Linked DNA regions of Drosophila melanogaster. The protein of the gene in region 2 interacts with the protein of the main gene of each other region in a pairwise test. Each region holds a gene or a part of one and is shown on either strand. Other genes may lie near its edges. The genes, in order: stas, Sec24AB, CDK2AP1 and CG31140.

Region 1 (9,337 bases), on a different chromosome or scaffold from region 2:
TACAAACTGCCTAAACATACCAATTAAGCAAAAATACAGCTTAACAACTGCTTAGACACAAATTTAAAATTAAATTTTTGCCCATTTATAAGCGGATTGCTGAACGAATGCTCTCCACAATGTAAATCGCTTTTACAAAGCCCATGGTTGCCAACTAATGAAGTGCATAATTTACAAACGATTATGATTCCCTTTGGTTGCCCCGGCCTCCACTGCCACGCCCACTCACATTTGTCTGTACGCATTAAGTGATCAGAATTTGTTGCCTGAAACAGACAGGAACACTCCGCAGCAGCCAAACTCATATCTGTACTACTTAAGCCCAATAAAGATGTGCATATTTTTTAGGCAATTGCCAAAAGTTGGAGTACGCCTTTGTACTGATGAAACGCATGGCAGGCGAAATTATGATGTCGTTAATACAATTTCTATGCTGGCACGGTCGTGCAGTACTGCGTCGATACGACAAACCCAATCGTTCCGTTCTTACAAGCCCTTAAATCAAATAAATTACATATCAGAATTCGCGAATTCTTTAGCACATCAAATTTGGGTCAATGCTATATTCTTAACTATCAACTTACTGTTGATTCGAACCATACATATGTACATATATGGCTCATATCCCCCATAGGCAATACCCACTGTTTTCCTCATCACGGTCCTTTATGTTTCACTACACGCGTCCTAAATCAATTACGAAAAGCAGAACAACAGCAGAGAAGAGCCGCGTTGTCCATGATGTGCGTGTCGGTATAGCTTGACAAAATTCCGGTGGTTTTTATACCCGTTACTCGTAGAGTAAAGTAAATATATAAAGTATATATATTCTTGATCAGGATCAATAGCCGAGTGTGTCCGCAGCGAAAGTGTGTTGACCCATGTTGCCACTCCCGCCCTAAAGCCGCCAAACCGGTCACGGTTTGAACAATTTTAAAATTTTTCTCATTTTTATTTTATATTTATCCATATCCCAATGATGAAATTTCGCGTTCGCATTCACACTAGCTGAGTAACGGGTATCTGATAGTCGAGGCTATAGCATTCACCCTTGTTTTTTTGTCTTTGCCACTGTGCGTGTGGACACCTGTAGCACCATCTGCCTTGAAGACCTTCTAAGAAAAAGGAGGGAGAACACTACAGTCCAGTGCCACGACTATTAGATACCCATTACTCAGCTAAAAAATCGGGCATACAAAATGTATAAAATTGCATCCTTACTCTTTTAGTTACAAGTCCATACGAACGAACAGACGGACGGACAAGGCTCGTTAACGATTTCTTTTACCAGTTAAATACTTAAGTTGCGACATATGTAGTATGCCCCTTACTCTACAAGTTAACTGGTATGATAACCACAAGCCAGCCGACTGTTGGTGAAAAATCTCGTGGGGCAACGCAAAGTCTCGGCGAAAGTAAATTAAAAATATTTTTGAGAAACGGATCTCAGCAGTTAATCCTTTTAAAAAAGTTTGCCTAACTAATTGAGCACACAAATCAAATGGCTGCCAAAACCGCAAGAATAACAAAAAGGCGGCCAAGAAAAATCGAGCAGTATGCCAAGAATAATAAAGGCTAATTAAAGCCATAACAAAGAATAGTCGACAGGGGAAACCAAAGTTTTGGCCAATGTAAATGAACAAGATGGGCGAGAAGGTAGAAGACCAAAGCTCTTGCCAAGTAAATTCAAATTTGCCGTTAAACATTTTAAAAGCTTACAAAACAAGCATAGCTTTAAGCTTATAAGCTTATATATCGCTTTTTAAGCTTAAATTTCACTATATTTATAACGTATATTTAAATTTAATCTCACTGTTAGTAAACAAATTATTTGCATAAGTTTCATGTGAGTAAAATGACTTCTTGACCATACAGCGTGAAAATATTCTTGATAGTTTTTTAGATCCAGATATGACCGAAAATAAAACACATAATTTGTAATTTGTATTTGTTTTAACGTTTACTTGCAGACACATACATACTTTAATCATCTTTTAACTTACATACGCTGCGTAATATTCAATGGATTTCTGCTAACTCGTTTTACTTAGAGGAGAACTTTTCTAGTAAATACTGCAATAGCACTAAACAAAAATTCACTAACTTAAAAACGATTGATGGAAATATATGATGCAAAAGTTGTTTGGTAAGAACAAGTTCAGAAAACATTAATAATTTTAATAATAGGATAAACACAGATATTTTGTAGTTGTCTTAAACATAGTGGATCGAGACCCAAAGTGGCATTCCGAAAAAAAATTTACAAACAAAAAAAAATCGGTATGTGTGTGTGTGTTGTTTCTGGCGTAGTGTATAAATTACAATTAATGATTTTTCGGTTTGTTTTGGTTTCGGTTTGGGGAATAGCATACATATATATAAATATATTTTGGACACATCCTCCGGCCAGCTTACGCCTCCTTCTTGTGCTTGAACTTGTTCTTGAGTAGACCGGGCAGCAAGGATGCACAGGCGCAGGCCATCAGGATGCCCATTGAGGTCCAGGAGAAGGCCTCGCTCGAACTAGTCATCTTCTGGAGCGTCTTGCCCGCCTGGATGGCGATCACCGAGGGCGGTGCCACGCCGCAGAAGGTGCCCAATGCGAAGATGTGCAGCGGCACACCGATGACTGGCGATGCCAGGTTGATGAACCAGTTAGGCAGGATCGGTGTCATGCGCAGGAATAGCATATAGTTGAACAAACTGTCCCGGTACTCCTCGACATGCTTCGACCACTCGCTGGTCTTCTTCGGCCAGAAGTGACGAATCAGACGACGTCCGACCAGATTGGAAAGTGTATAGCATAGGGTAGCGCCCAGCGCCGAACAGAAACATATGAGGAACAGGGCGATCGGGAACTTGTACAGGAATCCCAGCAGAATCGAGAGGAACAGCGATCCGGGAATGGCGAATGTTTGCAGGCTATAAATGGATTTCAATTGGGTCAAGGTAACCAGTCGTAGGCGGTTTCATCTGATACCTGCAGTGGCAACTAAATTTAATGACCTATTCGACGTATTGCCACATTGATATGTTTTATATGGCAAAATTAGCGAAACTATTAGAGAGATGTTTTAGGAGATTGCCAGTATTCTTTGTTTATTTTTTGGCTAAAAACATGTCATGTCACATTGGCTAGCAAAATACGTTCTTTCTTGGAACCACTGTGCTTGGGATTAAAGACAGATCGTACGACTAGTTGGACGCGTGCTCGAACGTCTGTGGGCGGGTATTTATAGACGCAAAGAGTTGACAATGACACCCCCATCGTCCGAGAATCCCCCACAGTCTCGTTCCATCTGGCATCGGACCACGTATTCAACAAATGCCCGATAACAAATGCACGGGCCAATAAAAAATGCTCACTAACACACTGGCGCAAGGCTATAAAGTTACGTATGTGCTTTAGCTTTTGATTTCGCTTCTAGGTTGCCTCTTTATTTTTTTGTTTATTCCTGCTAAAAACGCACTTGAGTGCGGAAGAAGAAGAGCAATAAACAAAATACAAAAAATCAAAACACTGACGACAACAAAATAATGTCCAGCTCAGCTGATTTTCGCGACGAAAACAGCAACAAATACAAAGAATGCGTCATATAAACGACCAAAGTCGATTTTTAGGTAGCACATGCTGCGTGCACTGGAGTGGACCTTATTAAAACGATAAACTTGACACGCACCGATAAAAACTAATCATTTTAAAATATCTTAAACCCAGTTGGGTTAGCAAAACATTTTCTAAATAAACTAATAGCAACACAGTTAACATTGCGTATACGTTATTTTATTACTCATACGCACAGTGAAGAACCAGTTTTGAGCATTGTGGGTTTATTTTTTTGTTTGCATTGAATTCTAGTAACACGAAATGCTAGCGTGTGAGGAAAATCCAAAGAAATACGGTCCACCCCAGAGAGTGCAAGTAGTAAGTAAGAGCAAGAAGGCAACCTCAGCGGCTCCCCTGCTTCCTACAGCTATCTCACTCGCACTTCCCCGTGCTACCCACGTATTTAATATGCACACTATGCGCTTCAAACGGTGATCGTGAATTAATTAAGGTGGAAACACACACAAACGCCCGACTGACCGTGAATAGTTTGTAGTGGCGGGGTCTTCATTTTTGGTAATCGGGTCAAGGTCACCGCCGAACGATAGAACTCTTTTATTATCTAATCAGTCGGCGACCGACTTTTCATGCCATTTTTCGTACTTTGGATTTGTACTTTTGGATTTGGTAAAAGGATACAATACGTAGGCGACCACGACGCCAAACATCACTTCGAAGTAGTACATGTCCTTGTAGCGATCAAGGACCTTGGCTAGCATCTTAGCATCTTGGATATCACGCGGAATTTTCAAGTGTTGTTTCTCCGACCTGCAGAAGTTGGGCAAGAACAAAACCGAGACGAGGTGTAAACACAGTCTATGTATATATGTATATATATACAAATACTTCATATATCGGTGGCGTGACTCGATGTGTGTGTGTGTGTGTGTGCGAGTAAACCCTCTCGCCAGATAGCTCTGTAATTTCAGCCATTTTCCAGTCAAATCTGGCTACTCAACTGGAGCTTAATTGAAATATTTCTTAATTTACAAATTTAGATAAGTTTGGTTGCTAGGGACTGGTATATAATATTACTATTTGATTAACTATCTAAATAGAAAACCATTGTTATTTATTGAATACTATACTTTAATAACTCTTTGTAAATAGTTCCTATCTTTACTGCCCAAAAACGCCTCTTAAATGGAAGCAAACTCACGATATACAGATAAGTGTTTTTATAATGCCGTAAAAGGTATCATGATTTGGTTACTATTTCAATTACTTTATAATCACTGTATGCCAATGCAGTGAAAAGGCACGAACACAAAAAAGAACAACAAAATAGATAAGTAAAATTTCACAGCATTATCAATAAGAATAATGGGTCTGCCAAGGGACTTTGAAAAAGATTAGAGGGATCTGCACTTATAGTTTTCAACACGTTACGTTTGCTGATCAAATTTGACAAAAAAAAAACAAAGATTGTTCTCTGACTTGCTGATTCCATGCAAATCAAATTCTGATGAATTCAAATTGATAGAAGTATATGTACACAAACGTCTTGAACTTTAAACAAAATAAGTTTACTCACTCACAGAACCAGACTATCAAATAACAATCCGCTTTAGGTAAAGTTTAAAGATAATAATAATCGTGTGCAGAAAGTTTTTCTTATGCAAAGCGTGACATTTGAGTTAAGTTACTTATTTAACATGGCTGTTATAGTAAATATTTGGACAATTAAATGGCCCTTTTCTCACTACATACAAATAGTTATGTCTGATCTAGCCAATAATAAGTATTTGCAATAAGAGTTTTACATCCTACAAATGTAATATCTATGATATTTAAACATAAAATATTGTTTTAGAAGCGAAATGGAGATAACTAGCATTAGGTAAATGACTACCTAGCATATCTAATCATAGTTGGATGTAGCCTAGCTATTTTAAGCGGATCATTGGTCGACATCTCTGCTCGCAAATCAAGCGAGACAAGCTAAGCATACACACACACACACATGGAGGCCACTTAACACCTTACAGGTGCACGAATGCGCAGGGGACACACATTTGTGGCGCTTTAGCACCAGAAAGACCCACTTACGCGTTGAGCTCGGGGAATATGGCGTACACATAGCACATGGTGACCAAGCTGGCCACAAAAATGCCCGCTACGATGACCAGGGACTTCTTGGTGGCCTTCTTCTCGTCTGCGGACATGGCCTGCTTTTGCGGAGTGGCCTGTTGTTGTTGCTGCTGCTGCTGTTGTTGCTGTGGATTAAGATCTTGTTGCTCCTGTGGCGGCACCTGTGGCAACAGTGGAGTAGCCACCTGATCCGGGGAGTGTTCCTGGAGCGCCTTTGCCCTGCCATTGCGCATTGTAATCCCCTCGTCAGCGGAAATGGCTAGAAAAAAAAAACAGAGACATGCAGATGTAATATGCATTCCAAAGCAGAAGTGGTGGTGGTGAACAGAATGCACGGACTAAGGGTTAATAGTCGTTTTTGGCTTCACGGGCTGCGCACTAGCTGCGGGTTAATCACCGTTCCTTCGCTCAGCTGATAAGTAAAAACAACTAAAACAGCACACTCACCCACACCACTGCAGTAAGACATTGTGGCTTTGACACGATGTACGTAAGCCCGAGTTGAAGAAGGAAAATTTAATAAGCCTTCTATATCCGATTTTAATTCACGATTGACTCATTTAGCGTCTAGGCTATTTATCAATTGTTAATGCTATTTGTGTGCCTATTTGCGCGCCAGTCACAATTTGTTGTTCTTCTCTCTATCCGCGTGCCTATGCGTATGTGTATGTGCGTGTGTCTACAACAATGAATTTAATCAATATAAAAAAAATAGGAAGTTGGCTAAAACTGCGTTAACTAGAGTAATTGTAGTTGACTACTGCGCTAATAGCAATTTTTTTAAATTTTTTCTATTGCTTTTCACTTTAGCCGACTTTTTCGGCGAACGATCACGCTTAAAAGTCAATTTAAAATAAATTAATTTCAGAAATTTCCGTCACGACCAGTGTGGCCGAAGGCGCAGTGTTGATTAAGTCCAAGCGTGTACACAGCTACCGCACAAAACTGAACGTGGGTTTCTAATAAAATCTGGTCATACTGTCATATTTAGCGCCACTTTTTAGTTTCTCTAAATTTTATTTATATTTTTTAATGTTATACGTAAATAAAAAAATGTGAGTGTCTGCATAAGCAAGTGAAGTACTTTTTTTGTATCTATAAATATCAACATAATAGTGCCCTTTTTCTTTTTGCCAAAAGACTCCATATTAATTACCACCTCCATGAAATACTGATAGAAATAGTGGAATTAAACAGTGCACTTTTTATTTTGTATGAAAATAGATTTAATAAAAATCTCATCAATATATTTAACATTCTATAATGAAACTACGACCTTCAGTGGGTAGCAAACGCATTCACGAAACTTAAGGGATTAGGTTAACTTGTTTTCATGTAAAAAAAAAAGTACGTTGGTATCTAGTCTAGAATCTGTTAGGAATCTGCTGTTGTCTTGTTTTTGAGCTGACGGTATAGCTGAACCATTTTGCTGCGCTCGGTTTCAAGCATTGACCTCGTAGCCAAGGGCAGATCTTTCCGCTTGCCCTTCATCTGGGCCTTGGTGGGTGCTTTGAAGGCGCTCTTAGATTGGGCAGCCAGCTTTAGTCGACTGCTGTCGTCGTCCTCCGGCCCACGATTTGACTGACCCTGGTCGGGATTCAGCATGGACTTTAGAAGGAGATTGGCTTTGCGTCCTGGACGCGGCACGGTTTCACTTTTTTCCGCTTTGCGCGGCAGGATTTTGAGGGAAGGTGGGGCATGGACGATCTCACCAAATGCCACAGCATCCTGTTTGAATTCTGTTGGCCCGGCATTCTGCTTCTCCTCGGTATCAACCTCTTGCTGGGCCTCCTTGTAGGCCCTCTTCACCAATTCGCGACTGGTCTTCGCATCCATGGGCTTGTGTACGACTTGAACCTTTTTGCGACCCCTTTTGCCCGCCAGCCGTTGCTCCTTTTGCTTCTGCTTGAGCAGCTCGTCGATCTCGTTTTTCGGCCTCTTTTGGACAGTAATCTCCCCGGTTTTGGGGTTTCTGATCACGTTCACACCATACTTGGCCTCGTAGTGGGCTTCCCGTACGGATGCATTGGTCATGCGATTCACTCGGCGCAGATAATCCTCGTCCGTTTCGTTGGCGAACTGCTTGATGTTACGCGTTTCCTTTGAGGAGGAACTACTGCCAGGCTTGGATCCTGGAGAGGATTTGGGCTTATCCTCCCGTCCAATTTCGCCCAATCTTAGCTTCTTGCCCGATTTGGTGGCGTTGGCAAGCTGCTGAAACTGACGGAACTTAAAGGACACCTGCTGCTCATCCTTTTTCACAGGCGGATTGTTCGTTACTTTGGAAAGTCTGAAATGTGAAATGGTGCAGATATTAGTTTAGCTGCCTTTTTCGACTGACTTGCCACTATGAACAAACTTCTTCTCCTTCTGTTCCAGCTGCTTGAGGGGATCACGGACGCCGTGGTGCTTGCGCACGGGAATCTTTCGTTTCCGAGCCATTTATTTTGGGTTTTGGTTCAATTTTTGTAAAACAAACTCGTGGTATCGACAGCATGGGTTAAAATACTAAGCGCGATGCATGCTGACAAATACCAAAACAAACCATAAATATACCAAATCGATTAAAGCTTGGACTCAAACCATTGGCGCCCAGAATTACAAATGAAATATTAAAGTTAAATATATATTAGATTAAATATATAAATGTATTTTACACTATGTATTGTATTAAGTAGTCTTCATATTCCCCTATTTTATAATATACATTTTTAATAAAGATTTATATGCTGTAATGAGAAAAGTATTTTATTGCAAGTGGTAAAATTTACTGTTTGCAGTAAAATTAAATATTTAAAGTCACGAATTTGTCTTAATTTATTGTTTTATTAGTTTATAAGCAACGACAAAATGAAGAATAAGTCTGAAACGGCACTTTCGAACTGAATACGTATGATTTAAATGTACATATGCATATTATGTACGCAAATTAATTTCATTATAAAGCTACAAATAATTTAGCTGAAGTGAAATTTTTTTTGATTGCAAATGGCAATGAATGAATAAGTATCTGGATATTAATTAATTGTCCGTTCTTATAAAGAACATACATTAATTTTTGACCAAAATACGTTAACAATTTAAAGTATGTACGCCGAGGCGGCAGTAGGTGTAACATCATTATCATCGCTGAAGTTCAGCAGGTAATCATCGTCAAAATTGTTGTGGGGCGAGCTGAATCGAAGTGATTGATCATCAAAGTTGTTGAATGTGGACGACGGATGCTTAAAGTAATCCGGCATTGGTTGGCTCATTGGGAACTCCTCCTCCTCCAATTTTAGTCGCTTGCAAGGCGGCGCCTCGTTTTCATCGCGATTGCTACCATAGTTCATAAACTGGGTTGCAGTAAAACGATTAAGAGTGCCCTTGGAGGTGCTGGGTATATCGTCGCTGGCCCAGGAAGATATGTTTTTGAAGGGAGAGAGAGTGTCGACTCTAATTATTTGTGGTTTATCGGAAATTTCATTGGATAGCTGCTCATCAGTCTTCGGGTTTTCGCCGATTTTTACTTGTTTGGCCGCATCAGCCGGCTCCTCCTCTCCTGAAGCCTCCCCTCCGGATTCCTTGTCATCCGATACGGATTCCTCGACTTCTGAGCCAGATTTCTCATCATATCTATCCTGTTCTAGATGCAAAACC
Region 2 (10,175 bases):
AAATCGATTACATAATGCTGGGTAGGTTTAAAAAGAAAAGAATATTATGCTAACTGTACCACCAGAATTGAACCAATTTCATATCAAAAGAAAAGTGTGTGTGCTGTTGTTTTAGACTGCGCCCTTTTTTCGAGAACTTGTCGAGCCAGCGCTGATCGATATCTGCCCTAACTCACACTTCCCACAATAGCTAATTTTTGTTATAGCTAAAAGAGGCTAAACATGCAACACTGATATGACACTTCGCTCTCTCCTGTTTTCACAATGAGTATGAGGAGAACGAAAAGAACAGTTGATTTCTTGTAACCGAATGGAACACTTGTGACTTTTAAGTGCGCATCGAATAGACTGGATGTTGAATGAAAAGAAAGACGTGTAAATAACGGAGTAAAAGAACGAGAGCGAGGAACCGTAATGCGAGTAGTTCATATGTTGATGAATTGAAAATATAGAGAGTTTCCATTCGTATATTCTTAAGCTAACATAAAAATAAACAAGTTGCATGTGAAATAAATAGATAATGGAAACGGCGTTGGCTGAAGTGCAACTTTCCTGTCTGCTGTGCGAGCAGACTTTTGATGCCACTGAGAAGCTGGACGAACACCTCCCCACCCACTTTCCGCAGCCTGTGAGCACTGGTCAAACATGCGATATATGCGGGCGCACGATGCGATCCTCGCTGGAACTGCACCAGCACTATAAAAGATACCATGAAGCCCATGTGCCCAACACAGAGGGACACTTTCAATGCCAGCTCTGCGACAAGGTATTCCTCCTCCAGGATCATCTCAAGGTACACGTGAAGATTGAGCACGCGACCGATGGCTACCAACCAGATGAGAAGTCCTTAGATTGGCAGCACTACTCTCCCAGAAGTCTAGACACAACAAACGATTATAAGCTGGATCCCATCTTGTGTCCTCCACCAAAGAGGAAGTATCCGCCGCGCTCCCCCTTCTTCAATCCGTAAGTCCAGATACCCAATTTATATTTGTCCATTATTAAAGTTGATATTTTTGCAGGAATCTCTGGCTAGGCGCTGACAACTGTTTTATGTAGAGGAACATAGAACCAGGATATGTCTTGCGAAGGGCTGACCGATTTATTGAGTCTTATGCGCCATCATCTATCCATTGTAAATGATTGTTAATTTAATTAAGGTCTTTCCCAAAACTAAATTGGGATATATTGGGAACAACAGATGTGCCTGTACATATGAAAATAAAACGCATTGCCTTATGATTTAATTAAAATTTATTTCGCTTTATATCTTGATGTACTCGTATGTGTATAAAGTATGGTACAGTATTTGTATATGGTTTTTCGATTAGTTAGCCCACTCAAAGAACGACAACTGCGCCACCTGAGGTACAGGGATGGGGTCTCTTTATTGATACAGTATAATATTCCTTCTAAGCTTAAGACATTCACTGCCTAGCAGTCCAATGAATGCAATACACAATACCAAATCCGTACATACGTTTGAAATAAGTTCGCTAACTACAGTGCAACAAAACGCCTTTCCTTACACTTATAAATAAATATAGATTTCTCTGGATTCCGGAAAATAAATACTACTGAAAACAGCAAACAATTGGGGTAAGCGATAACAATTTGTGGGGCTGAGAAGTTTGCAGAATGTTTGAAGCAGTTGGAACGAACAAAAATCGAGCTAAAGCATAATGTACAACAGTTTCGTTGGTTTATTGCATAGTTTCTATAATAAATAACGGAGCCATCCACTTCTTCGGGAGCTCTACTGACTGGTTAGCTGAACTTTTGACTAATGTTCGCCCTAAACGAACTGGCAACGATATCTTAGTTTCTGTTGTGACAAGTTGGCTCTTTCGCATTTACTATGATCTTCAATTATTTTATTTTATTTTTAGTGCAACAAATCAACAAATAAATAAATACATGCACTTTAAAATTACCTAAGCCGAGAGAGTGGGTAGGGGATGGGTGGTTAAGGTGTATCAAGTGTATGTCTGTCCCGAACTGGTCTCCATTGTTTCGCACCAGTGTCACCTGCATTCGCTTCGTGCTTCTAGTCACCAGAGTCTGAGTTTTTAGGTTCTTAGAAACTCGTATTTATGCTGCATACAATAGTGGTAGGATATCCTGCTTATATACTATTTAACCTGAGCCCGAATGTGTTGCAAAAATTCATAGTATGACAAACTAGATTCACTGCGATCGTCGGTTAATCTCTCGGTGAACTGGCCCTTGGCCGTGCTCGTGTCCCTTTAATTTAAGATAAAATAATTAGCAAGGTATTATGAATATTTTAATAGTGGTCCGACTTACCTAATTATCTGCACCAGCGCCGAGTAGGGCTTATCGTAGTTGAGTCGCAAAATAAAACGCTTCAGCACATCGTTCTCGTTGCTCACAACATTTGGCAATCCATATACATAATCACCCAGTTCTGCGGTGGAGCTGATGCCTGAAATTAGAAACAGATTAGTAACACAAATTGGTTGGGTTTTAAGATCATACCCAGAACAGCTTCCAAAACATCGGGCGGCACATTAAGGCCGACATAGATCATTATCAGCGTTCCGCAGTCCATCAGAAATATTGACCGAGAGTCCAAGCTGAAGTTAAAGCGTTCGTTATCGAAGGTCAAAAATAAATCAACTCTACTCACTGTTCCGCGGACAATTGAAGACGCGGCAGCTCCGGCAACGGTTCATCCTCGTCCTCGTCGTCATCCTGGTTCGAACTAATGTTCGAGTTGCGGGCGTGGTAGATCAACGCATCGATCTTGTACAGCTCCGGGTACACGTACTTCATTAGCTGGTCCAGCGGTAGCGTTTTCATGCAATCCATGGCGTAGACCCGATCATCCAGTCGTGTGCTAGTTCCCACACGGAAAGCGGGCTAGTGGAAAACCGAAATAAGCTGTGATAACTAAGATCATATGCAAAAAACTCACGTGCTTAAGCAGGGCCAAGATGTAGAGCGGGAGCAACGCCAGGCTGCGCGGCGCTATCAGCTGACCCGACTGTCCCGATGGCAGATTTTGTGCTATCTTGAAGGCATTGTACACGTCGATCGTAGCGTTTATGAATGCATCGCGGGCGTCCGACAAGTTGGAGGCGACCGACCGGTCAACCGCCATTTTCGACAGCAGCCCGATAATAGCTTCCGTGTCGGCTGAATGCATTACCTCTGGGAGCGAAGCGGTAACCGGCAAACACACGGTGTGCACACGGATTCGGCGCTCTCCTTCGCTGTTCGTATAGAGCAGCGCAGCTTGGAAGCAAATCGTTTTCGCGTCCGTGAGGCTCTCCTCGTAGGAGATCTGCATGCCATATCCAGCATCCGGATTCACGTTTGGCAACGAGAGCAGGTCCGTGGAGCGCACGAAGAAGTTTCCATGGAATGTATGCACCTGCAAGCCACGAGTGCAGCGGATTCGCATTACCGCCTCAAATCCAATTTTCCTGGTAAGATAGCGCTTGAAACACGAGCGGAACGATTCTACCATGTGTGGCTTTGTCTTCTGGTAGAGCGGGAAGTGGTGTACACAGCCGCCGCTATGTTTGCTAATGCCAGCTATAGGGAAATTGAAACTCCAATAAGTTAACGGTGCTCTATTACTCGTAAGAGAACTTAATGCAAAAAGGCAGTTTGAATTTACATTACTAAGAGTCACTTACAAATGGTTGCCATGTCGCTGTACTGCTGGTTCATCAGGAAGAGGTCACAAGCTATTTGATAGCCGGAGCACTCTAGGGCAAAGCGCTTGTAGAAGTCGGTTGCCGGGTTAAGGTGGGCCACGTCCTTTGCCGAGCGGTTGTTGGGATCTTCGCGCGGCTCCAAGGCTCCGGGTCCCTTGTTGGGAAGGCACGATTGAAAGACGGTTATCCGTCCGCCGGACGCTTGCTGTATACAGTATTCACGATGATTAAGGTTCCTCTTTAATTTTGAATAGCTCAACTCACCATTAGCTTGAAAGCAACCTGCAGAGCAGCACCCAAGGCGGAACCCGGATCGTGGGTGTGGGCAAACCGCTTAGGCAGTTGCTTTAATAGATCACGCACCAGTTCCTTGCACTCCTTTAGGTTTACCAGCAAACTATCAGGACGTGGCAGGAAGGGGTCCTCGATGTCCAGCAGCGTCATTTCGTGCGGCTGGTTGAGCCCCTCGGCCATGCTGTAGAAGTGCACGAAGCTGTCGAAGCAAATGAATCCCACCTGGGTCCTCGCATCACCGGGCATCTCGTCTAAGTGCCGGTTGAGTACGGCGCATGCGGCCTCCAGATAACCACTCTGCTGCGCGATTATCGAGACATCGAAGAGAAACAGGTACATGGCCGGCTGTGGCGGCCGCAACATGTACTCCGAAGGAGCAATAAACTCTATGGTGCTAGAGCGTACCTCGGGCCTTCGGGTTACGTCGCCGTATGTCTTTGTGGCCGGATCAAATTGAAAGTCATCTGGCACTGCACGAAGAAAGAAACATTGGATTACTAAATCCATTATATGCTGGGAACTCTTTTCAATTACATTCGTTGACTCGATAACACAGATTGCACTTCCACATCTTGCTGTCCACGAAGTAAACGAAGGGATTTATGTAAGTGCGGCACAGCCGGCAACGCACAATGTTGATGCACTGAATAACAGGGAGGCTCTGTGTGAGGAATTCCAAGTTAAAGTCTTTTATATCAAATTATTTTCAATAAAATTCTTACATTGACATCACGGAAGGGATGTATCACAATGCCCAGAGGCAGACGTGACTTCTGGAGCAGAGAGTTGCTCTCGGGAATCTTGGTCAGCGTACAGCGCATAATGCTCGGGCTACAGTTTATGGACTCGTGAAACTGGTTGTGCAAAACCACTTTTGGCGGAGGCAACGTTGCCGGCGTTAAGATATGCCGATTCTGCATAAGGTCGATAGTATCCTGTCCCCACAATCTGCTGAATCCCTGCTGAGCCACGTTTAGTGGAGCAGTGGTTCCATAAGGTCCCCCGGGTGCAGTCTGGGGTGCTTGCTGAGGATGTTGTCCGTAAGCCTGAGGAGGCGCCTGTGCCTGATACTGCAGTGGAGCTCCAGTCGGTTGCGTTCCGAACATTCCCGGCGGCGGTGGCTGCACTGCAGACTGAGGAGGTGGTGGCTGTTGCTGTGGTCCTGGTTGATAAACCTGGGAGTATGGATACGTCTGTGGTGTCTGCTGGGCTGGCGGCATCATGGGCTGGGCTCCCGGCGCCGCTACATTTGGTAAGCTCGGCGGCCATACCGCTCCTACTCTTGGTGGCGGCGGTGCATTCTGTAGATTGTTGTTTTGCTGGCTCTGCTGCTCGGGGTTAGTTGGTGGGGGTACTCCGTATGGGATTCGTTGCCCCGCTGGTGTTGGTCTACCGGCCATCGAGGCGCTTCCGAACATTTTGGCCGGATTTGGAGCCAAATTGGGGGGCTTTTGTCCACTAAACGGCGTCGCCATGGCATTGGGAACTAGTGCAGCGGCCACTCCGCTGGCCGCCAACAGACTGTTGGCGTCGTTGAACTGCGGTGGACCCGTCTGGGCCGAGGCCACTCCCCTGCCATCCTTTTGTGTTACTGTGGGTGCGTACTGTTGCTGGGTTTGGGGTTGTGGCAAAATGCTGGTACCTCCATTTGCTCGAGTGGTATTCAAGTTAAGATTTTCCAGATTGCTCGTCAAGTTGGCCAGAGATTGGTGCGTCGGTTGGGGCGAAGGACGCAGTCCCGACGCCAGGGGCGGATTGTTCAACGCTGCAGCGATTGGTCCTTGAGCATATTGAGGGGCAGCTCCTACTGGCCTTGGGGATGCAGTGCGCGAAGAGTTCGCACTGGACGCCCCATTGCTGCCGTTCGTAAGGGGTGGTCCGTTGGCGGCGGGCGGACGCAGATGGGGCGGCAGCGTGCTGGGCGGCAGTTGCTGCAGAGGTGTAGCTGCTCCTGACGTGGGCGGCAAGAACTGGTTCGTAATACCACTGTTGAACTGCTGCGGCGGTGGCACATTACCTGGCGCTCCTGCTCCCGGAAAAGCTGCTGCAGGAGGTGGTTGCTGGAACTGTTGTGGCTGCTTCTGTGGTATATACTGCTGACCAGGTGGAGGACCTGGCTGCTGCTGGACGCTTCCTTGCACACCATTCACAAAATTGTTTCCGTTCAGTGGCATAGGGGCGTGGGCGGGAGGCACGAAGTTCGGATTGTAAGTCGACATGCTGCTAATTCATAGGTTTGTGGTCTGAAAGATGAAGAATTACATTTTGTTTAGTTGCTATCTTATCACTAGCGAAGGTTGCGTTGCTGCCGACATGAAACAGGGAATTATCTTATCGTTCAATGTTAAAAAGCGCGTAACATGAAACAATGTGCGGCTGATAAAAGTTGTAAAGTTTTAAAGCGGGATGCTTTTCCCCGCTTACAGACAGTTTAGAATTTGCAGTGATCGAATGGAATGCGAAATTCTGCGTTATTGGAGCTTTATCACAAACTTTTAAGCTAGACTGGCTGCCTAGGTAAATGTCTTGATTCAGTGTTTACAGAACTGTGTCTACGTCAACAGTAAGTCGGAAATAGGGTGATAATTTCATATCATATTTTGCTGTTTAAACAGCTTCGACAGCAGGTCGTTATGGGTTATTATGTGATGTACAACGTGTAAGTGTGCGTGCCTCAAGCACTTGACCTCGCCATCAATGATCGCAGAAGGTGGGTCGGTTAAATTGGTGACCCAGATGCAGTGGAAGCAATCAGGAAGAGAAAGGATTTGTCTCCGGAACAAAGCAAATTTTTGATGACGTGCCTATTGGCGAAGTCAACCCGCCACGCCCACCACCCACTCAAAGAAATTGGGGCAATCAAGGCATATGTAGTGCCCATAACACGGTTACCAATCACTTATCACCTTCCCGAGCTTCAGTTTTCATTGGCATGAAGTTCCTCGGCCAGCACTTGCACTTTGTAGTTGCCTCTTCTTCTTGCGCCCTTGATTGGCGATTTTGCTGCGGACTATGAATTAGCTTTTCCGCCTTTCGTTGTGAGGAAAGGGCGGATGCAGCTGTAAAAACCACTGGTTGTACTCTTTGTTCTGGTCTTTTGTGAAATCCTTGGCTGGATTTTTCTCCGCGAACGAAAATTAAACGATTTTCGCACTTCCCTACGCTCTCTCCACTCCCAAAACTTCCTTCCGCACTAGTTTCTTTCTTACACGATTTCAAGCGCTCCTCGCGTGCTCCGGATGGATGCGAACACGTCCTATATTGGCAGGCGGATTCTTTGGACTTGGCGTCGTACGCTGCTATGCACAATTAACTTAAATGCAAACTTTTTGCATTTTCCGGAGAACAAAAAATTTTGAGGCCACGTCAATAGTGTGACCGTTGGTTTTAAAAAAGAGATGACAGTGCTCTGGGTCGCCTATCGATTGCAAATAAAATGTTATCGATACCAATGGTAACATTATTTTTGTAACAATTCAAATTTAAAACTTAACGCAATGTTTATTAAGTGAAGACAAGCAATGTATATTATATATAACTCTGTTAATGATATGAGCTTAAATGTTCGTAAGCCCGAAATCCAAAATCCATTAAAACTGCTTAAAGAACAAATCGCTTTATTTGCAATATTTGTATCTGCTTGGGAGTAGCTCAATTTCTCAATTAACACGTTGGTTAAAAAGAAAATCGCAAAAATATATACAAGTTTCCCCGGGCTTGGATATAAGTTCCAATTAATGCCATTGGGATTACAATTCTTTTATTCTACGGGGTAACTAGTTCGTTAAATATTACTTTAAATCAATTTCGAAGCGTATTTACTTTATTCGTTTCATTTTGCGTTAACTTTGCGTGAGAGTAGTCGGTAGATTTGCTGTGTGGGTGGTGTTGCTTCCTGGCTCGTAAGTTATAAAGTTATAAATTAAATTTAATGTCTATTATTCAACGTGTCTAGGAGTTCGGTTTTCAATTGGGTTCTATTGCAGTAAGGTGTAAAGGTGTGTCACCAGCGGACTCTTGGTAAAGCTTTATTGTTATTATTGTGACAAGTGGAATTCGAAACATAATACTAAAGGTAATCGTATTTGATTTATAAGCTATGCGACTGGAAAATCATTGTGCACCGTGTGTTCTATGTCCGTGTGTCTGTCCTGTGGTCTTGGAAAGAAGCGAGGGTGCAGTATCTGTCGGATACTAGCGTGTCGGTATTGTATTTCGTCTATAGCAGAGTCTTTTATTTCAAAAATAGAATCTCTATTATCCTTAAGTAACTATCATTTTGTAATCTACAACTTTTGATATATCCCATTATGTATTGGATTTCTTTCTTTGTTGCTAGTTAGTAAATGTTAGTAATGTAAAAGGTATTGAATAGGTGTCATTGTGTTGCAGTTTACTGCGATTGCCTTTGAAACACACTAGTACTTAGTAGTAAATAATAATCGTTAATTCTGTATAGAAACTGTGAGTGTTTGATTTTTCTGTCTCCGCTGAGCTGTCGAGCTTGACTCGCGTTCCAACCTAATGAGCAGAGCTTTACTCCTTTCTTTTTCTCTGTGTATATTATTTACAATTAATAACCAGACCCTGGAGCCTCCATCATGGATCTCCTTCTGCCAGTTCAGTTGTTGCTCTAACTTTTCCTGCATTCGTTACGTTGTATCGTCAGTGTTGAGAGGTTTGCGCACTTGTGGAATTAAACATATAGTTGAGGCTCGTTCTTGATATGATCCATATATATAGACGTTTTTGGTGTTGTTGCTCTCGTTGTCAGTCGGAGGCATTATCTCTTGGCCTCCTTCTCCTGCAGATACATGCGCTGACTCAGCGGCTTGGCGTAGATCCAGTTGTCGCCCACGGGCTTAAAGTGCTGTGAACGAATATTATCTGTTAACTGTTTTACCCTATATCGGGATGACGTACCTTGTGCTCCCAGGCCAGATCGTATTCCTTGCGCACCTTGGCTTGATCACGCTGCTGTTGCTCCACAACGAATTTGGCAGTTGTAGCGCGCTCGATGTCATTGAACCTGTGGAAGAGCAACGAACAAAGAGATTACATTTATCATGACTCGCAATTGGGGGTCAGGAATTAATTGGTATGCTGTTTACTTGAGTCCCGCTGTCACTTCCTTCCAAACGCGTCGCGATTCGTACTCATCCTGCTCAACGATTGGTCGAACTTGTTTCTTAAATATGGGTATGCGATTTACGTCGACGAATACTTCGGTTTTCTAGAAAATTCAAGAGATTCATTCAGATTCACTATGTGGTCAACTGATTGGGATTGGGTGTAATATTAAACACACAGCAATCATATATAAGTACAGATAGCAACAATTTGAATACAACGTTGGACAATCAGGCATAGGATTAATTTGTGGGTTCGATTTTCTAGACAAACAAAGTAAACACACAGAGGAAATGCTCCCGAGCTATTTAAGAGAAAAGCAGAAGAATCGTGGATAGTAAGTAGAGGTCTAGTTGGGGTGTGAAGGGTGGATGTGGCTGCCAACTCGTGGGGTTGTTTGTTGCAGCGTTTTGGCGCAGTATGCGGAGGAAAAAGTACAAGTAAAGGATCAACATTTACAGAAACAATATATAATAGTACACTACAAACATAAACCAAACATATTTTGGACGACTTACGTTTTTATCATGCCACTTGGCCTCCATCAAACCACTCCACTCGCCCGTAATAGAGACGAAAGGCTTCTTTTCGCTCGGCGCATAGACCTATGGATTATCCGAATTAATAAAAGAAAACAAATGTACACATTCAGAGCTAGTCACCTCTGCCGAGACCCTGTTCCGTTTGCCGCCATAGAATGGCTTGGTGAGGAACTCCACGTTGGCATAGTATCCAGACTGTGGACACTTGATCTCCACCGAACCGCCGAGCTCAATCCAAGGCACCGTAAGAATAGACCTTGGTAATGGAAATAGTCTTCAGTTGTTTGTAACCGGAAATACCACAGACACGTTCTCACCTGCCGTAGCCGTTGGGGAAGGTCACTATGTACTCCTCGCTGCGATCCACCAGGGTCACAACACCCTCACCAATGTTATGAACTCCAATGGAGAGTCCCAAGAACTTCGACTTGGTCCATACATGGGCCGCAAATGTTATTTTTTTATTATAATGCTCCGCATAGAAGGCAGAAACTGAAACAAATAAATGCGTAAGTGATAGAGG
Region 3 (6,233 bases), on a different chromosome or scaffold from region 2:
TAGTTACCCAGCTCCCAAATGGCTTAACCAATATTTGTTGATTGAAAAACTGAATTACTTTTGCAACTATCCCATGAGTGGAATGGCGAATACCTGATAGCATTTGCTTGGTGCATACTTTCCTGGTCTAGGCCAACATCCTCGAGTGTCAGCAAGTGCGATAACGTGGTGCGCCACTTCCTCCACTTCCAGATGACGAGAGCAAGGCAAACGCAGCCGAAATCGGAATCACGAGAGCGTTGATAGCCAGCTGATAAGATGGATGGCCCGCCGCCTATAAGAGATGAGTTCCGGTGACGACCCAATGCTATTCCACAACGAGAGCAACCATGTCCGGAGCAGCTTGGATGTCCCTAGCTTTTGTGGCCTGTCTGCTGGCCGCATCGGTGGACGGCAATGGGTTCAGCACCCAGTATCGTGGTCACACGCAGCACCCTAGCCTGGCGGAGCACTGCCTCTACGAGGAGTTGGACCTGGCCGTTCCACTCAATGGCTACGTTCTGCCCTCCGGTCAGCAGGGCTACTGCATTCGCTTGGAGTGCACCGATGACTATCTGCTGTTGATACGCCAGTAAGTTTCGAGATTTGATCGCATGCCCTCACTATATCCCATTTCGCCCAATCCCTTCCAGCTGCGACAAACAGCCATGGCCGCGACCTGGCTGCCACCTCTCACCCAACGACTATGATTTCAAGTTCCCCGAGTGCTGTCCCCAACTCGAGTGCTCCGACGAATACTAGATACAAGATACTAGATCCAAAAGCATCGATCTGTTCGGAATTACTATTTCTATTTAAACTATAATCCATTGATCTTGTGGCAAAGTTAGCCAAAGTACTAGTAACAAGTATAATCTTTAGTTAAATAAAAACATATATAGTTTAAGAAACTAATGATGTTATCACTGGAACTGCAGCTGTTTCGCCAGCCTCCGGAACGAATCTGTATGTAACGAGAATTTTCCACCTATTTGATAAACCCGAGGACCCCTGAGACGCAATCGCACGGGAGCACAGGGATCTTGACCTTTCAGTCTAATCGCTGGCGCACCCCGAAACAAGTGGAACTATATAGTCGCCCAGCCGAGCGATCCGTTGATCAGTTAGCTACATAATATGAAATCGGTCACGTTCGTACTCTGCCTGCTCGTTCTGGGCGCCCACTCGCTGCTGGTGTTCGCCGGTAAGTGGATGCAGTGCATCGTCGCCACAAACCATTCAATCCCGCATGTTCATCTTGTTCATTCGTAGTGGATTGCGAGATCGGTGGGCATCAGTTCAAGACCGGAGAGAAGTACACGCCGGAAGGTCGCTGCCTGCAGTACACCTGCCAGGCACCCAAACAGGTGACTGCCTTGGGGTGAGTAGCTTCTACATGGATTGATGACTCCTTGACTCACCCACCTTGCCACTTGTGGCCATCCAGATGCCCGGCCATCGCCTCCTTGAAGCCCTGCAAAATGGAAGAGGATCTGAGCAAACCCTATCCCGGCTGCTGTCCCAAGTTCAACTGCTGACAACGCCTCCCTCGCAAGTCGAACTGCAAATGTGAAATGAACTATGAAAACTGAATATATAACTATAGAAACATACATACCTTAAATGAGAGATGCAGTTGGATGGATGGTTATGAGGGGTTCATACATAATTAGAATCAAGTTTGCCAGTTCTGCGTTTACAAAAACCAAAATAGCGCATTTATTTCGATTTCGATTTCGGTTTCGGTTTGGTATACATGCTTGAACTTAGTCGTATTTGCTCTCATACATATAGTAAATAATGTGTATACATATATAAATATTCTCGTGTCAATTGCCACTAATTCACCATTCACTTGGACATGCACACTGTTCGCTTGCATAACAAGTATATATGTATACATATATCTCTGCTTAACTACATCTACATATCTGCATTTGTATAGTTCTCTAAAATAACGAGGAGCAGCTTTATCCGGCAGTGACAAACTCGCACAAATCCTGTCCAGATACATCCGTATCTGCATCTGCATTTGTATCTGCAAATCCTCGACGGCGGTTGCCATTAGATACTCGTAATTGATTGCATTCACTAACGCAGACACAGGAGCAACTGGGTCTTGCATTAACGGATACAAATTAATGGGTATACGGTAGAGATACACAAGTCCAATAACTTGGGCTGCAGCTATACTTGTAGCATTGTCGATTTAACCGATTGTAACCTGAGCTAGTCTAAACATTCTTTAACTATGGTCCGGCGGCCCGAGGGCCATTAAGTTGATGTGGGCTTACAAGTTAGTACAAATTGCTACACTTTAATGCTTAATTGGGACAAAATGGATCTTTGCGTTTGCTATATGTCCGTGTTTTTTTTTGTTTTTTTTGTTTGGGGGTAATTAACCTAGATGAGGCCGATCCTCGCCTCCTGGTCCATTTCACTCCGGGGTCGCCAGCTGCGGCGCCAGCGACTCCTCCTCTCATTGGCGCGCCGCACGCTCCGTTTCCATGAGGCATTCGCGCACCAGGATGCGGGCATGGACAATGCCCCGCTTGAGACGCTCCGTGGAGCTGCGCGAGCCCGTGTACGTGGGCCGGATATCGCGGCCCATCTCCTCAATGACGGCCAGCAGCTGGGCGTACTTGGTCAGCCCATTGCCCGGGCCCACTGAGGGCAGGCTGGCCGTGGAGGTCAGCGGCGTGGTGATATTGGCCGAAGTTTGGGTGGTCACCACCACGGGCGAGGTGGAGGGTGGCGGGTACTTTAGCTGCGATGAGCTCAGATTCAGGCCCATGCTCTGGCCATTGCTGCCAGAGGAGGTGGAGGAAACGCCGGCACCGGAATTCCGCTGACCACCATTGCTGGAGCACATGTTGGCCAGCGAGAGGGCCGCAGCGGCGACGGCTGCCGGCGTGGCCGTCGTGTTCGACTGCTGCTGGAGTAGCGCCAGCTGGGCCTGGAGGAACTGCGGGGAGTATTGGAGGGCAGCGACGGCGGCGGCAGCTGCTGCTGCATTGGCCGCTGCAGCGGAGCTCTGCTTGCTGGACGAGCTGCTGTAGTCGCTGGCGGAGGAGCGGTCCCGCTCCCGCTTGCCACCGCTGCTCGTGGAGTAGTCGGTGGCAGCGTTGGATGAGTTGGATCCGCCTCCTCCGCCAACGGATCCACGCGAGTGGTGGATGGCCGATATCTGGATTTGGGGCTGCTGCTCGCGCTGCTCCCGCTGCTGCTGGTAATTGTAGAAATTCTGCACTTGGCTGCGCGGTATCGGTGTCACCGTGACGTCACTCAGCTTGGACTCTACGGCCTGGATATCCATGATGTCCATGGTGGCGCTGGGCGATGTGGTGTCTGGAGTCGATATCCGTCGGTTGTTGTGGTAACTTAACTATGTCCACCTTTCCGTTTTCCTGGCACACAAAACTACTAGTTTTTAGCGTTTCTTTTTTGGTTTATTGTTTTTTGTGATATGATATCGATATCGATATCAGGAGGCGTTATTACGCTTTCCCTTCAACGCACAAACAAATACACCCCCACCAACAAAAGTCGATGGTTCGGATTATAGTATCGATAGACAAGCGCGATGCAAAGTGCCCACCTATTCGCGTCTCGAATGTGGGTGTTTCCACTGTACAAGCAATTTGTATACATGTGGAAAGCTCTTTGTCCAAATTGGTAAATGGCTAAATGTTTTTGAAAAAAAGATAATTAACAACCATAAAACTACAAGAAAATTACAAAATTTAACCCAAGTGCATATGTATACATGAATGACAAAACGGTAAAACCATGCAAATGAATAACCATCCACGTCGAATAATACCTAGTTCACCCTGATAAGGCACTCCCAATTTGTCTTATTAAACAGCTAATTTTGTTAGGGCTTAAAAATACCCAACGTTATGTATGTCTAGTGTTGTCTAGTTTCGGGGGGCGGAAAAGCCAATTGCACACAAATATACAAAGTATTGCCGAAACGTTGATTCTTTCAATAAATAAGGCACATTTTAATGAACTTATGCTTATGCCAACAAAAGCGGTCGCTTATTTTTATTACTTATTGATATAAATTCCAAAACAGCTGACATTTTTAACGGTTACTTTGCCTAGTGTTGGCCAAGACATCAATCTTAATAATAAACTCTCAAGTTGTCAAAATTATACTTGTATTTCTACTAAAAAGTCATAAATATACCCAAAAACTACTTAGCCAATAGTAACCCTGCTTAATATGGATTTTATTCACTTATTAACACGCCAATTGTCTCACTTTTCAAACACAACGGCTGATTGCCAGCACTGTTTGCGCTGCAGTCCAGTGCTGCGCAACGCGGCGGGGACAAAAAACAATGGCGAGGCGAAACTAAAAAATTGTGTTGCTGACATCTGGTCGCTTGCAAAACTATTTCTAGCAGATTTTGTGATATTTCGTTGTGATCGGTCGATAAATCCGCCAGTTTTTTTTTTAATGGAAAGTGCTAACACATTGTAGCGGTTGGGAAGATAGCAGGAAAGGTGAGCGAAAGGCAGAAGATTGCGAAAAATTCAATTAAATTTCCGCGACCGTCTGTTTTCTGCATCGGTGTGTGTTTGTGTTTGCTCGCAAGTGTGTGTGGGTGCTCTGTGTATGACGTAAAGCGATAAAGCAAACGCATTCCCCCCACTCCTTGCATATGTGTGTGTGTGCAAGTGTTGTGTTTCTCTCTCATCAGTTTTGCATCTAATTAGGAGCGGAAAGCATTGATTGGCTGCCAAACGCCGCGGTTTGTTGTTTTTTTCGCTGCATTTCGGCCAAAAGGCTTGCCGCAGCTGCATATGTGTCGCTATGTGTGTGTCAGTGTTGCACAGTGCCGCCAGTGCCCACAAAATGGGCGCACAACAACAAAAGCAGCAACTCGGTTGGGATTTTCGCGATCCTACGCTGGCTCGGAGCTCCCCTTTTCCTATTTCCAATTCCCAGCCAGCGGGCTGCCGTTTTTCCTTTTTGTTATCCGTTGCCAGACGCAACGAAAACGACAGTTGGCATTTGAATTCAGCACAAACACACATACTAACGCCGACCCGCAAGCAGCACACACACACACACTGGGACACTCGAAAAAAAAAAAACAGACGCTGTCGGCGACCTCGACAAGCAGTTGGGTTCGATTTAGTTGTCAATGCCTTGAATTCGGTTCGGGGCTTAGTTTCCACAAGTTTATCGCTCGTCAAGAAACAACGAAATAAAATTATTTTCGACCTAAAAAATCTGACTAAATTGTGTTTTTTGTTTATGTATTTATTTAGGCACATTTTGCACACCACAACGTAGTTACTACATCTACGACTAACGGAACTCCTCCTGCAAGCAGTGGAAGTTGCTGTCCATCAAGCAGTACTCGGAGTTAACGCAGGATAAGCCGGGAGAAAGAGAAAGAGATCGGTGGAGAATAGAGATATACAGGTGGAGTCAAAGAGGAAGGATCATGGACATGATTACGGTGGGGCAGAGCGTCAAGATCAAGCGGACGGATGGCCGCGTCCACATGGCCGTGGTGGCGGTGATCAACCAGTCGGGCAAGTGCATCACAGTCGAATGGTACGAGCGCGGCGAAACGAAGGGCAAGGAGGTAGAACTGGACGCCATACTCACGCTCAATCCGGAGCTAATGCAAGATACTGTCGAACAGCACGCCGCCCCGGAGCCCAAGAAACAAGCCACCGCGCCGATGAACCTCTCGCGTAATCCCACACAATCGGCTATCGGTGGCAATCTCACCAGCCGTATGACCATGGCCGGAAACATGCTGAACAAGATCCAGGAAAGCCAGTCGATTCCCAATCCGATTGTCAGCAGCAATAGCGTGAATACAAACAGCAACTCCAACACTACGGCCGGCGGAGGTGGTGGCACCACAACGTCGACGACCACTGGATTACAGCGTCCACGGTACTCGCAAGCTGCTACCGGCCAGCAGCAGACAAGGATCGCCTCGGCGGTGCCTAATAACACATTGCCCAATCCCAGCGCGGCAGCCAGTGCTGGTCCGGCGGCACAAGGAGTCGCCACTGCGGCCACAACCCAGGGAGCTGGCGGCGCTAGTACCCGGCGATCGCACGCATTGAAAGAGGTGGAGCGACTGAAGGAGAATCGCGAGAAGCGACGCGCCCGACAGGCCGAGATGAAGGAGGAGAAGGTGGCGCTGATGAACCAGGATCCGGGCAATCCAAACTGGGAGACGGCGCAAATGATACGCGAATATCAGAGCACGCTG
Region 4 (6,907 bases), on a different chromosome or scaffold from region 2:
GCACACTTATCGGCCGCAAATAGCACGATGATGCCGCCCCTATGCCAATGCTACTACACACCAGATCTAGATGCTGCCACTGTCGGAGCACATCGACAATCTATACAATCTATACGATCTACACGATCCGTACAATCTACACAAATCGTAGATGACCCATTGGTCATGTGGCGATGACGTCGGGTCTGCCGATCACTCTGCACGAGGAGAACTTGTTTAGTTTCACAGGGAAAACGCAATTGTCGGACGAGGCACAGACCAATTGCTTTATTTTCGGTTCGGATAATCTACATTACTTTATTATTTTATCAATAGCAAACCTTTTCTGATAAATGTCAAGATATACATTCACCCAATTAAGTTATTAAATCTTTTTACTGATGCTTTGAACACTTCACATATACTATCCAAAATAATAGTAATCATTTCATGATAAGATTCCTATATTTCGCTATTCTGTGCATGTTTATGCCACCCACTACTGCCTCATCCTCATCGACATCATCAGCGGCCGCATTTTCATTCCAAGTTTATGGCAATTTAAAAAGTATTTTCAAAACTAGACGAAATGTATTTTTACATCTGCCGCTGGCGTTGAAGATGTTCGATGATTTGCGTGCTGCGTTTTCTCGGTTCTGTTTAGTGCTCATTAATTACAACTTATTTCTATTGCGGCCGTTGAGACTGAATTGAGAACTGATGGACGAAAGATGTAGTTTCATATAGAAAATTCAGTTTTAACGATTATCTTGAAGGAGATAATCCAATGTAAGATATGCCTTTCTGATCAAATTGCTTACGCAATAAATATGAATAAAAAAATGTGGGATATCCTGTGATCTCATTGAAAATATTTAAAGTACTTGTACTAGCTCGGTGCTTACCTTCGCAGATATATCCCTGCTGGATGAGGCCCCAGAGCAGATCCGAGCAGTGGTGACAGTATGTTGGCTTATGAAATGTCTTCTTCACGAATGAATGCCCACCATCCGCCATTTTGTTTGCCTGTGTCCGCAGCCCGCCCCACTTCCTGTCCTTCTGCTTCCGGTCTATCCTCCTGCGCCTCCTTGTGCCTCCTTATGCCCCGTTGCCTTATGCGTAGTGGGTTTTTTGTGCGTTGTCCTGCTGGAGGATGCTGTTGCAGCTGCAGTTGCTGTTGCGCTTGCAGCGGCAAAGGTCTCTCGATGTTGCAGTTATATGAGCAGTATTCGCGGCTGCTGCGAGTGCAGTATGTGTTGCAGTTGCAATATCGCCTGCTGCTGTGTATATGGGCTATTTCGAAGTGGGATTCTTGCGGTTGGGCAATTTAGGCCGCTGCTGCCGGTGCGGGCGTCGACGCCAGCTGAGCCAGCGCTGCCGTACCGACCGAGGGCGTTCGATTGGCGTGGGCGTGGCAGGACTGCTCCTTCTGATCCTGCTGCTCCTTCTGCTGCTGTTGCTGCTCCTGGTGCTGCTGGTACTGCTGGTGCTTTTCCGACTTTTCCTGTTGCTGCTGACAAAAGCGATGCGATAGTGACGACGGCGAAAGTGACGGCGACGACGGCTGCATTTTCATCCATTGGTCAGGTAGCGGCTCCCTTATCCGGACATTTGCTTGTCGGGATCGGTGTTTTTCCTCGCTTTGAACTTTATTTATCCTTACTAGTTTCTATATACATATTGGCTATGTATCATATTTGCTTTGATTCATATTCATGCATCTTTGGTTTGGTTAAGCGTTTTCGTTTATAACTTTCTTTTGGTGGTGAGTTTTTAACTGTTAATTATTTACAATTTCTGGCGCTGCACTAAACAAAATAAATTTGATAATTGCTTGTTAGAATTTATGTGTGCCATTTGAAATAAATAAATTCCAATTGAATTTTGTATATAGCACTGCACACACAGTCGCGGACACACACGTAGGCACACTTCACTCGGCGGGCGGTCTTCACTTTACTACTACCGAAAACGAACAGTCGCAGCAGCAGCAGCAGCTCGGAAAATGTTTTTCTTCGACTTCGCTCGTTCCTTTGCTTTTCCACTTTCCGCTTTTCTGCGCTGATACGTGGGCGCCGCACACCCCAAAAGAAAAAAACAGCAGAGCCAAAAAATGAAAGGAAAACGTTTCCCGATAATAAAATCCACAAGAGCGGGAGTTTCCACAGGGAAATGCGAGAGAGAGAGAGAGAAAGCTAGAAAGAGAGCGAGAAATGGGGCTGCGCGAGAGAGAAGGCACGCGTCATGCGTGGTGAGTTGGGTAAAAAAGTTCCCAGTATTCTTGGAGCATCATAAAAAAGTAGTAGACATCAATATAATAATAGAAGTGGCAAAAATATGATATCAACAGCGTGTACCGCAGGGAAAAGGAGAAAGGGAACCATAGGGAAAAGGAGAAAGAGAGAGTGGCACAGAAAGCGAGAGAGGGAGCTAGAGCAAACTGCATTGCTTCAATTTCTCCCACCCAAAGCGATTCTATCAATTTCCATAGCTGCGGCGCCCTCAAGTATGCAACATGTTCTGCGACGAACCAATTACCACCGCCACCCACTTTCCCAGCACCACCCCCTCCCAGCCAAAGGCCGCCCACCGCCAGCGGGTATGGCCAAGGACAATCCAGTCAAATATTATATCATACAGGTCCTAATAATAGACGGAAACAAAGGTAACGACACTTGAAGTTTTCAACTTGATGACAATAAACGATAGCTAACGGAAGGCGCACAAATCCGCATTGTGTGTATACGCAAAGTTAAGGTCGGCATAATGGCCCTCAAGCACAAGGATCTTGGTCCTTATTTAGTGTATATGACATGTTTTTAGCATTGATTTTACATCGAATTATGTCCTAAGCTCATAATTCTATAACTATCTATTGTGACAACAAGATATGAGTTTCCTATTGTTTAAAACCCTCAAATTTTAGTTCGATATTCGATCCTATCGAATATTGATATTAACGCATCGTTTGTGTGCGCAGAAAAGCACCTACACGAAATTATAGTAGTTATGATGACTTAAAGCAGATTATAGATGGAATCAAGGAATATCTATAAAACTGGAATCCACATACGCAGTTACTTTCTATAAAAAAAAGTTGTTAACCCTTGAAGTAGAAGTACTGCGAACTTGAGAAATGAGTTGTGAACTTGGACTTGACGGTACTATTATTTGCACCGCAACTGTGAGTTTGGAGCCAGCCTGACGACGTGGAATGTCCAGGACCCGTTTCCCGTGTCCATATATCCTGGCCACCAGGCGATGTCCTGGCGACATGCGCACTCCGGAACCCACCACACTCGCTCGCGCGAACTCAACTCCACCACGACGGAGCGTTTCAAAGAAAGTGGCCAAGTTTAAGGATAAATCACAACGAGCAATATTTTTGCAACAAATGCGTTGAACGGGCGGCAATTTGGGGGTTGGGTGATGAAAACTTTGCGGCTTTGCTTTTCTTAGGGAAATTATTGTTTTGTTTTGGGCTGGGAGAGGCGCAGAAGCAGAAAAAACGGAAAATTATGGATGCTAATGGGGGGCCCAAAAAAGCGAGATATATAGATTTCAGAGGCTGTGTATACACACACACTCTACAACTGTAGACAAAGCAGCCGTACTTCGTACCCGTAGTGGCGCCCACCCAGCCCACTGACGCCCCCACCCCTTTCCCCCTCTGGACTTGCCACCCACTTTTCCCACCCAATGCTGCGCGCTTCGCTCTTTTCGGGCCGCATGAGCAAATCGCAATAGATAGAGAATTTTTTTCTTTCTTTCTTTTGCTGGCGCGGCTTGATTCCTTGCCACCACATCTATATGTATGTATATATATATATGTCTGATTGGTATATATATGCGAATATATATGTATCTGGACGGAGTGCGTGTGGCCTTGTCTTTTTCCATTTTCATTGCTAATCACACGAAGGAGTTAATTTGTTAAAACTTTGGCTTCGGATGGGAAAGTGGGGCCTGGAAAACTCTTGGTACTTGGCACATATGACAACGTAATTTTCACGCGCACACACACACTCGCGATTTTGGAGAGAGAAATTTTATGTACCATACATTTTTGAAGCTGCAAAATTTTGCACATTCGATTTTCACACTGCCACTAATGCTGCCTGCTACTGCTGCTGCTGGCGCTGCTGCTTTTTCCTTCGTTTTTCTTTTCTAGCCGCACTTTCGAATTTTTTTTCCTTCACCGGATGGAAAATTTTCACACGCACAGCAATCGAGTTAAAGCGAGTTTTTCGCAAGTTTTCATCGCGATTTCCCCCGAGTTTTCCACGCGTTTTATGCACTTTTTCGCTGCGAGTGTGTGAGAATTTTCCTGTGTGCTGGCTGTGTGAAAATGGAAATCCAGTGAAAATCCGCAACCGTTACGTACGGAAGAGCACACCTAGCTGCTGTGTGTGCTCCGCTGAAGACGATGGTGCGCTCTGCGGACGGGTCTGCAACTTTCTCGCGGCGCAGCGCCTTTATCGCTGCCTTCGCCGCTGCTCCGCCTGGCGCTCTCGCTGCGTCCCGCTCGCACACGCCGTGGGGCCAATCGCGCCCTCTCGCTCGACGCTGAGTGTGTTGAGTTCGCCGAATTCCTGTGTGCGTGCGTGCCCAACAACAAACAGGGGGAAATGTTGGGGAGCTCCCGTTAGGGAGAGAGCCAGGTCGCTCTCTATCTCTCTCGTTCGCAGTCAGGATGCTCTCTGGCGACCCCCCCTCCCCAAATAAAAATGAAATCAACAATTTGTTGGTCGGCGAGCTGCCAACTTGGCCCCAAAATAAATGTGGCCAAGCTAAGAGAGGAAATTGGCCCAAAGAACGACCATTATTTTAAATTAAGGCTTAATTGAAGGTTAGAAATGTAGGTTTTTTGAAAAAAATGAGTTTTACATTCAATATTAAAATCAGTAAGAAAATGCATTTTCTTATATTTTATAATTTAAGTTAGTAAAATCTCATAAAAACGAACTTTTCAAAAACCATTGCCTACTTTCTTGTGCTTATTCCGCGTCATAACCATGACGTACTATTGTCCCAACAGAAAAGAGTAGTACTGAAATATAAAAACTCTCACGCTCGATACCATCTTTATTTGCAGCAAAGAATGCATAAAGTAAACAGAGTTTTGATTGGTTACTTTGGATACAGCAATTTTTATATATTTATAGGGCTTTTAACTTACAACTATAGAGTTGAGCACACCGTCGATTAATCGCATCGCTTTACTTTGCTTATCATTAAGTTAATCTTTACAAATATGAACGTGTGTGAGCAACCGATATTGATGCTTTTTTGTGAAATTAAATGTATTGCAAATTGCATTTGCCAAGCGAAATTAGGAATAGGTTTAACAGCACTTCTATACACAATGTTTTTTATGCTGACACAGGGTGGTTAAATTACAATAGAACCGGTATACTTTTGGGTTACGTTAAATACACATACAATTAAGGCGACTTTAAATGGGTTCAATATAGATAATGCCTTTCTGGCGTTACTTTTGCATAGAGCCAACTTAGCCCAGGCCGTGATCGTCGAAGAAACTCTGCGGGGTCTCATCCTGGAAAGGGAGAATGCTTAGCTTCAGTTACATGTTACTATACTTTACAGCGCTTGGGGTAAAAGGAAACCAAATAAAAGTATCGATACTGGGGGCTAACTATGAAAAAGACTATGAAAAAGGGTGGTATATAGTAGCAACTAAAAACGAAAGGACACCAAACGGGTGCGCTAAGCCAGACATATAGGTAGATAGACAGTTTAGAGGGAGTGGAGCTCAGAGATCAGATCAGTGGAGGTGGAACAATGTGGGCGTCAAGAGTTTAGAGCAGTCAAATTGGTCAGTCACAACAACAGCAAAGACAACAATCAAAACTAAACGTTTAACAAAGACACTAAAAAGAAAACTGAGGTTCACCAGGTCTTACCATTTTCATATAGCATACGAGTACAATTAGGATTTTTTTTTCAAAAATACTTGGTTTTTATTTTAACTTGTTTTTCTCAGTTACAAAACACAGAAAATTTGGCTAAAACGTACAACACACATACATAAACATATATATATATATATATACTTGTAGATATAGATAAACTAGATTTTTTTATTCGGTTATTATTACAATTTTCAATTATATATCGTTCTCATTTAATCAACATTAAAGCTTACATGTTTCTATTGTAAGAATAGTATTGCATATATTTCCCCACTAAATTAGTTATTGCCCATTTGGTGATTGATTGGAATGATCTTTCGATTATAAAATGTAGATAGGAAGAGGAATATTAATTCAGTTCAGGAACCCCAGGTGGAACTACGTGAGGTTGGCTTGTTTTGCATGAACTTTTCTGAATCTATTGTGTCTGTGCGTGAAATTTACGAGATAGAGTGTATGAAAAACCGCATACCAGATGCTCTGATGTTACTATATAGTATTATTGCTTTTTGGAGCCTCACGCTGCTTGGCGTCTTCTTGCTTATAATTTTTTTTTCAGCGCTTCAGTGCTGTACAACAGCCAAATCACACACTAGTGTTGAGGAGTGGATGGAGCAGTGCTGTAAAGTGCCAAGTGCAGCACACGTTATCGCTGGGGTGTAACTGTGTGTGTTATTGTGTCGGGGTGTGCGTGTAATATCAACTACATAATTTCTAGGGTGTTCTAGTTCTTTAGAGGAGTCCAATGTCTCTTAAAGTGCCCTCAACGGCTTCGTCCTGGAGTACAGAGAATAAGAACAATAAGAACGAGAAGAGTAGAAGGAAAGAGAGTAGTAGTGGTAGTAAGAGTAGTAGGTGTATGTGTAAGTAGAATGTGTCCAAAAAAGAAACCAATTTCGATCTTGTTTTGCTTTTCTTTCATGTACGGCACAACTTGGAAACACGAAATGCATATTATATGGATGAACATCACAGCGCAGCGCGGGGAAGGCAGG

What was found.
Region 1: the proteins of Sec24AB (region 2) and stas interact in a two-hybrid assay, tested with the Drosophila melanogaster proteins (one large-scale study listed by BioGRID).
Region 3: the proteins of Sec24AB (region 2) and CDK2AP1 interact in a two-hybrid assay, tested with the Drosophila melanogaster proteins (one large-scale study listed by BioGRID).
Region 4: the proteins of Sec24AB (region 2) and CG31140 interact in a two-hybrid assay, tested with the Drosophila melanogaster proteins (one large-scale study listed by BioGRID).

Annotation. Positions count from the first base shown.
Region 1 is NC_004354.4:17,621,284-17,630,620, forward strand, and holds stas (stasimon), read right to left. Parts: upstream 6,613-9,337; 5' UTR 6,168-6,612; coding exon 6,146-6,167; intron 5,958-6,145; coding exon 5,657-5,957; intron 4,376-5,656; coding exon 4,247-4,375; coding exon of another isoform or gene 4,174-4,246; exon of another isoform or gene 2,981-4,173; intron 2,923-2,980; coding exon 2,412-2,922; 3' UTR 1,938-2,411; downstream 1-1,937. Other genes in the region: CG8326 (uncharacterized protein), read right to left, coding at 7,073-7,988, 8,058-8,140; corolla, read right to left, coding at 8,779-9,337. UniProt on the Drosophila melanogaster protein: Required in cholinergic neurons, but not in motor neurons, for normal neurotransmitter release by motor neurons. Involved in muscle growth.
Region 2 is NT_033778.4:9,874,994-9,885,168, forward strand, and holds Sec24AB (secretory 24AB), read right to left. Parts: upstream 7,365-10,175; 5' UTR 7,190-7,364; exon of another isoform or gene 6,403-7,189; intron 6,224-6,402; 5' UTR 6,200-6,223; coding exon 4,703-6,199; intron 4,642-4,702; coding exon 4,515-4,641; intron 4,451-4,514; coding exon 3,951-4,450; intron 3,892-3,950; coding exon 3,666-3,891; intron 3,562-3,665; coding exon 2,939-3,561; intron 2,884-2,938; coding exon 2,651-2,883; intron 2,598-2,650; coding exon 2,500-2,597; intron 2,447-2,499; coding exon 2,308-2,446; intron 2,245-2,307; coding exon 2,133-2,244; 3' UTR 1,239-2,132; downstream 1-1,238. Other genes in the region: CG12744 (uncharacterized protein), read left to right, coding at 521-966, 1,023-1,059; CG1513 (uncharacterized protein), read right to left, coding at 8,764-8,850, 8,904-9,009, 9,092-9,213, 9,629-9,715, 9,773-9,908, 9,970-10,144.
Region 3 is NC_004354.4:11,135,128-11,141,360, reverse strand, and holds CDK2AP1 (CDK2-associated protein 1), read right to left. Parts: upstream 3,503-6,233; 5' UTR 3,305-3,502; coding exon 2,459-3,304; coding exon of another isoform or gene 2,417-2,458; 3' UTR 1,672-2,416; downstream 1-1,671. Other genes in the region: CG15199 (uncharacterized protein), read left to right, coding at 330-571, 633-741; ssp7 (short spindle 7), read left to right, coding at 1,117-1,183, 1,252-1,360, 1,427-1,517; Klp10A (Kinesin-like protein at 10A), read left to right, coding at 5,445-6,233.
Region 4 is NT_033777.3:23,960,680-23,967,586, reverse strand, and holds the start of CG31140 (uncharacterized protein), read right to left. Parts: upstream 4,408-6,907; 5' UTR 4,364-4,407; exon of another isoform or gene 4,354-4,363; intron 1,788-4,353; exon of another isoform or gene 1,783-1,787; 5' UTR 997-1,782; coding exon 885-996; intron 1-884. Other genes in the region: AP-1sigma (adaptor protein complex 1, sigma subunit), read right to left, coding at 6,645-6,689.